2 linked regions of the Ovis aries genome follow. The protein of the gene in region 2 binds, or shares a complex with, the protein of the main gene of each other region. Links are inferred from orthologs where the notes say so. Each region holds a gene or a part of one and is shown on either strand. Other genes may lie near its edges.

Region 1 (3,499 bases), on a different chromosome or scaffold from region 2:
TGTACACGTGCAGCCACTGTCTTGAACACCGTCCGTTCCTGCTGTCTCTTGCTTTGGACGGTATTGTGTCTACACAAGGAGCCGAGCTGACCTTCCCCCAGAGACACCCTGGAGTCTCAGATGATCAGAATTAATTTATTTGTGTCTTCTGTTATGCTTGTATCTCTTACTTGTTTTGACAATAAAAATCCGTACTACTTTCTCAAATGTAGATGGAAGTTTTTTTTCATTAAGTTACTCCATTCTGCCTGCTCAGTCATGAAACCTAAGCATGATAAATTTGATATTTTGAAACACCATTGCCTTTTTATTGTATCCTTTTAACATCAATCTTTTTGCAGCACACTCAATACTTTTGTTTCTATCCCCCTTCATTACGTTAGGTCTTAACAGACTGGCCACAAATAGGCAATATCACAGGTCCGATATAGGATGTTTGTTTTCCGTTAGGGACACAAACATCTTTCTCTTTCGAAACAGGTTCTCAGTACCTTGAATGACGTAACATTGATGTCTCAAATTTGTTTAGCACATGGATTCTTTTTTTCACATCTTGAATGGAAATGTTAAACATATAGTGCATACAGTATTACCTGTTTCAAAAAAAGTATACATAAATAATTTATTAAAAAATATATACACCATATGTATTTAAGTCATATCTGAGAAGAGGCTAGGACAGGGTTGTTAAAAAAAAAGATGTTTACTAAAGAGTTAGAAAGTTATCATAGCCTACAGATAAATAAGGTAGGTTTGGTCCTGTTAGATTTTAAACTACTTTCTATCCTTCTGGGACTTCCAAGCAGTTGGAGGTGGAGTTCAGGAGGTATTCTTGGTGTTCAGTGCCTCAGACAACCTTGTGCTGCTCCAGGCCTATGGAGAGACCTCCGAGTCGGGGTTCAGGTCTGCGGCAAAGAAGAGCAGGAGCCTGAGGAGGCGCACCTTGTCCTGCAGCTGCGGGACGAGCGGCTCCCCCAGCATGCGGACCAGGCGGCTGCGGAAGGCCTCGATCTGCTTCTCCACGTCCACCACGGAGATGTCGTCCCCCTGCTGGGGCTTGGGCTTGATTCTTTTGATTATTAAGTCTTTCCGGTCAATCACTGAGCTCCGCAAGTGCTCTGCAAGAGGGAAAAAGTCAGCGGCACTGTTCCGAACGACTTTCTATTCCTCTATGACTGGGGAAGACGGAATTTTGGTAGGTAGGGTGTAGGCAAAGATTTGTTGATGAGTGACTAGGCTACAAGTCAAAGGCCCATTTCTGAAAGGTCCTTTGTTCTGGTTCTCTCTGGACCTCAGGTTTTAGTATTAAAAAAAGCCTTGGTTTTAGTTCTTTTTCCTTTGTTGATTTAGACAACAAACCTATATTAAATAATGAAACTATTTCAAATGGATATAATTGGAGAACTACTCTCTGAAAAGAATTGCAAAGATATTAAATTTTACATGGTAAGTCTGTCATGATTTTGGTTAATCGTAATTCTGTTGAATCCATTTTGTATGTATTGCAGGATAGACCAAATGAATAAACATTCATGTTGAGAATAAAGCAAGGGTTCTCACTATGGGAGACAAGATTGAATTAAGGAACAGGAAGAGGAAGAATTCTGTGGAAGTGGAAACAGGTATCAGTATGAACTTTCATTTTTTTTAAATTACATAATTTACTAGCCCTTGTCAGAAAGGGCCTAGAAGCAATAATAACTGATGGCTGTCCCAGTAGCAATCAGCATACTCAGCACCTAGATCTTGGTTTTGAAATACTATTTCCCACTCCCCACTAAAAAATACCAGAACTCTTGGCAAAAAGGCTGATTTTAGGATCATGGCAAGGAAGTTACAAGGGGAACCTGGAACTTTTTTTTATAAGAAAGTAAGGGAATGCTTAGAAACTAATGGGGACATATTAGTTTCTGTTGGCCACATTTTGAACAATATGATGGTAAATAATGGCCAAAAAAATGGGACTATAACACACTGAATTTTAAAATGTCCCAAATCCATAGTAAATAAGAATGAGTGCAGGGAGAAGGGGAAGGTCATTTTTATCAGAAGGCCAGTTAAGAAATGTAGAAGGAATACATGACTAGAAAGGGACCAATTTTCCATCTACTAAATCAATTCAGTAGTTCACCAAATGAAAGGCTGAACGGGAGACTGAGTTTCACCCTCTGGGAAGAGAACACGGGAGAAGTCTCTTAGGGACTCCCTGACCATATGGTCCAACTTCACACCAGTGAGACCACACTGATGTTCCTGCCTCTTGATGTAATGCACTGGAAAGGGGTAGCCACCCTCATCTCTTCTGTGTTCTTGCTGCTCATGAGAGAATAAGCTGACCACCCCAGTTGTGCGGTGTTCTATGAAGTAACTGACCTGGACTCTTCAAAAGTGTCCTGTTACGAGAGACAAGTAAAGGCTGGCAGCTGTGTTAGATGACAGGAAGCAGAAGAGCATACCAGCCAAGCACAATGTGTGATGCTTGACTGAATCCTGACCCAAAGCAAAACCAAACAGCAGTCAAGGCTACCACTGGCACACATTAGATAACATTCTATCAAGGACAGAATCAGAGGGATAATGAATAACGGCATGTAGGAGGATATTCTTAAGCTGAAGTGTTTAACAGTGAAGGATTATGACAGCGCAACTTACTCTGAACTGGTTCAGCGAAAAAAAGTATGTGGATGGAATAGATAAGCCAAATATGGCAAAATGCTAACAGCTTCTGAATCAAGGTACAAGTTACAGGAGTGTACGTCATACTACTCCTTAAGCTTTTCTGTAAGTTCAAAAATAAAATGCTGGGGAAAAGTACAAACTTCTAAAGGTACCCATTACAAAACCATGACTCGGTCCCAGCAGGGCTCTGGAAGTGTGTGGGATCGAGGCACACAGGGCACAGGGTCACAGGCAAGGCAAATGGAGGGGAAGGGCCCTGCAGGCCTTTTGAGTCCAGGTGTACCAGAGACCATGCCAGCATCATTGTATCCATCTCATTTATAAAAGGGGGTAATGGCACCTTCATTAACAGGGTTCCTAGAAGGACTGAACTACAGGGTCTAGAAATTTGAGAAAATAGAATCAACTGAAAAGAAAAAGTATAATAAATAGATTGCAGAATATCCAAAAAGTCTGGAAACAGGAGGCACAGCTGCTCTGAGATGTCATCATAGGGGCATTTCAGCATTTAATCAATGTTACAGTGAGCGCCTACTCTGCCTCTGGGACAGGGCTAGGCTCCGAGGAGACAGTGGGATCAGAGACCTGGGCCCAGCCCTCCTGGACTGACATTCTAGCCGCAGGAAGCCTGACAGTGGTTAGTCAACAAAGACAGTTGTGGTTTTGGTGAGTGCAACCAAAGAAATCAACTGGGTGCTGTGATACACAGGAACACTGAGGATCAAGGGAGGCGGTGTATTCTAGCTGGGGAGGGCCTCTTAGTTGAGTCCCAAAGGATAAGGAGGTAAGCATGAAAAGTCTAGCGGAAAAGCAGTCCATG
Region 2 (3,656 bases):
CTCTTTCACTAGTCAATCCATTTTTCTCTCTTCAAGTAAAGATAGATGTCGTAGAACTACTTACTGTATAGTCTGATGACTGAGATCTAAGCCCTTTAGAAAGAGCTGGAGGCTTTCCTGTAGCTGTAGGAGTCTGATTGAAGTTCAAAGCCATTATTTCTTCCAGTGATTTTAATGTTTCCTCTTCCTCATCACTCTCTAGGTTATAACCTAAACTTTCTTCATCACTATCAAAATCACCCCTTAGTTTCCTTTTCAGTGCACTGCTACCTGCATTAGAATTTCCTGAACACTCTTTATCTGAAGGGGCTTTATCTGAAGGTGCTGGTGGGCTTGGAATACATGGCACAACTTCCAAAGCAGCTGGGGAAGACTTTGTAGGAGTGCCATATTCTGAACGTAAAGATCCCTCAGAAATTTTCCCTGAAGATATGTTAGAATCAGCCTTATTAGTCTTTGCTTTGTGTTCCTTGTGTTTGGAGGACTCTGTAGAATGCCCAGAACATTCTTTAGGTGAAGAACGCTCTTTATCTTTTTTAGGAACTGGAAGAGTGCAATTTTTAGCATTTAATGGAACCCGAGAGGAACCAGCACTTGGAACATGGGAAAGCAAAGGTAGAAGTTTTGTCTCCTGTGATGCCACAGAGCTAGCAGTTTTATTTTTCTGAAGGTTGCTAGCTTTTTTAACTGCAGACTTTTCCTGAGGTAAAGATAAGTGGGGTTTCGGTATCTTAGTCTCTTTGGTACTTGCCACACGGATTTGGTCACTACCACGGATTTGGTGCCCAGAATTTGTAGGTGTCAAGCCTGCAGAGGAGCAATCAGCTTCTTCATTTGGGTCCTTGGATATATCTTCCAAACGCAATACATCACCAGGTGTCTTCAGTGCAATATGCTTTATAAATTTTTCTTTCTGATGTGGTCCATCGGGACGCTTCTCAAGGAAGGACTCTTTTGCTTTTGGCATTATAGATTCTCTTGTGCTTTTCAGATCTGAGTCCACAGAGTTCCTTTTTCTTTTCTCAGGGAATTTATTCTGCTTAGAGCCTGCTAAAATTTAATTTTTGCCAGATTAGTGAAAATATACTTTTCTATCTTATTAAAGTTTATTCAAAGAGTGTCTAGAACACCCTGACAAAGCATTTAAATTCTAAAAGCTTAGGCTGAGATTATCACATATGGAATGAGGAAAAAGTTAATAATATATTTCTTTGACATACTCATGTCAAAGAAATTTAGTCTAAAGCGAATGACAAATGCTCATTTTCACTCAAAAGCTATTAAAAGTTTATTACCTAAATAGAATTAAAGGTGTTACTTGCCAAAATACTAAAAAGCTGTATATCTGTATCAAGGAAAGGTAATTTCTCAAAAAAACTTCCTGTAAGTATTTCCCCCTACTATTAAATTGTTTATTCTTTCCCATTTATCTCTCTAATCCTCAGCTGTGTTTTGGGTTGAAGTGTAGCTCCCAAAATAATATGGGGAAGTGTTAACTCCCAGAACCTCAGACTATGACCTGAATTAGAAACAGGGTTTTTATAGGGGCAATCAAATTAAAATGAGGTAATTAGGGTGAGTCCTAATCCAATATAACAGGTATCCTTATAAAAAGGGGAAATTTGGACATGGAGAAAGACATGCAGAGGGAAGATAATATGAAGACACATACAAAGAAGATGCCATGTGACCGGAGTGATCCATCTGCAAATCAAGGAATGCCAAGAATTGCAGATAAACACAAGAAGCTGGAAGAAGTAAGGAAGCATTCTTTCCTTAAAGTTACTGAGAGCATGGCCCTGCTGATAACCTTAGTTGGGGAATTCTAGCTTCCAGAATCATGAGACAATAAATTTTTGGTGTTTTAAGCCATCTAGTTTTAGATACTTTGTATGGTAGCTCTAGGAAACTAATACAACTTGACTCCATGTTAGGAACTCCATCCAGAAGCACTTTAATTTTAAACACCACATATACATGAATTAACCAGTTTTTTAAAAATTTCCGTGTTTAAAAATGTGATGTTTCATTAATTCATTCTGAAAAATTCACTATTTATATAATTAGTATTCTCAAAATCAAATTTCCCTAAACCAAGTTTCTACACATGGACAGATGTCCCCACATCTCAAGTTGGATTTAAAAAACAAAAAAAACTCAAGAAGTTAGGCAATTATTTGGATAAGCTTATCAATACACAGTCTGGAAAATCAGTATGTAAGAATGAAAAATTAATTAATAATAAAATGTTCCAGGACTTCCTTGGTGGTCCAACTGGTTAATAATCTGCCTGCCAAAGCAGGGGACGTGCGTTTGATCCCTGGTCTGGAAGATTCCACATGCTGTGGAGTAACTAAGTCTGCGTACTACAACTACTGAGCCCAGCTGCCACACCTACTGCCCCTGTGCCCTAAAGCCTGTGTTCCACAAAAGAAACCACTGCAATGAGAAGCCCAAGCACCACAATTGAAGAGTAGCCCTCACTCGTTGCCAACTAGAGAAAAGCCTGTGCATAGCAATGAAGACCCAGTGCAGCCATTAATATACAAATTTATATAAAACAAACAAACCCAGGGGAACTTCCCTGGTAGTCCAGTGGCTAAGACTGTGCTCCCAATGCAGGTGGCCTGGGTTCAATCCCTGGTCAGGGAACTAGATCCCACATGCTACAACTAAGACCCGGTTCAGCAAATAAATTAAAACAAAAACAAACTCAATCCCCCAAGAGCTCCTGTCTGCATTCTTCTACAGATATTTCCTATTAGCTGATAAATCATTCTATGCTCTCAGTTTTCTGGGGTTAAATGTCTTAAAATGACAGGGATCCTTTATAGGGCAGGATGACAAATCAAATAACCAAGAAAAGAGAAGACTTGGAGAAGACAAGTCTTCATGATTCTTTTTGTGTCTCCTATACAATCTGTAGGTTGAATGAATGCTTTACAACATTTCAAATACTTATTAATATAGAAAATACTCAGATAAGACAAGGACTGAGCTTGTAAAAAGAAAAAGGAAAAACGAAAAAGCAAAGAAAAAAAGAGAAAAATCCAAATGCTCAATAGAAGACTGGCTATTACTAAATAATAGATTAAGTTGATCCTCAGAATTCAACCACAGGACAGGGCTCTGGAAGATCAATAAGCTAAATGCCTATCCTATCAACATTGCTGAAGTCCCTGAACTTGTATGTGATTAATGAATGTGTGATTATGTGTATTATCACAACTGTTAAGTGTAATAACAATAATGTAAATAGAACCTAACATCTGGATTAATATCTACTCACTATTTAGGGAATACCTACATGTGATGTGAAGAACCAACTCATTGGAAAAGACCCTGATGCTGGGAAAGACTGAGAGCAGGAGGAGAAGGGGGCTACAGATGATGGGATGGTTGCATGGCATCATTAACTCAATGGACAGAAGTTTGAGCAAACTCTGGGAGATAGTAAAGAACAAGGAAGCCTGGTGTGCTGCAATCCATGGAGTTGGAAAGAACTGGACACGACTTAGTGACTGAACAACCACAAATTCACTATCAGATAAACATGCTTCATGTTATCTAGAAAAAAAAATCCCCGTATGCTCTTAATAGTCTACTGATATTCAACTGAAGTATAAATGTATATTAAGATTATTATACCATAATTA

The links.
Region 1: the proteins of SLF2 (region 2) and SIMC1 are in contact, whole or in part, in a cryo-EM structure (PDB 7T5P), measured with the Homo sapiens proteins. The link is inferred for Ovis aries from reciprocal best matches to the Homo sapiens genes SLF2 and SIMC1. Residues at the interface, in NP_060591.3 of Homo sapiens: His738, Val772, Leu775, Lys778, Asp783, Phe786, Gln790, Gly791, Phe792, Thr794, Ser795, Ala796, Tyr797, His798, Tyr799, Cys820, Ile821, Gln825, Ser828, Met831, Glu832, Ile835, Arg836, Asp838, Thr839, Ser841, Asp842, Ser843, Pro847, Lys919; in NP_001295125.1 of Homo sapiens: Tyr426, Arg428, Leu431, Lys435, Leu438, Pro440, Val442, His443, His444, Leu445, Phe447, Gln448, Arg470, Arg471, Phe490, Asp493, Pro497, Val521, Asp522, Lys525, Glu526, Tyr528, Met529, Met532, Lys533, Gln536, Leu537, Arg571, Asn658, Gln661.

Annotation. Positions count from the first base shown.
Region 1 is NC_056060.1:5,010,611-5,014,109, forward strand, and holds the end of SIMC1 (SUMO-interacting motif-containing protein 1), read right to left. Parts: intron 1,119-3,499; coding exon 874-1,118; 3' UTR 597-873; downstream 1-596.
Region 2 is NC_056075.1:21,532,740-21,536,395, reverse strand, and holds part of SLF2 (SMC5-SMC6 complex localization factor protein 2), read right to left. Parts: intron 1,051-3,656; coding exon 65-1,050; intron 1-64. UniProt on the Homo sapiens protein: Plays a role in the DNA damage response (DDR) pathway by regulating postreplication repair of UV-damaged DNA and genomic stability maintenance.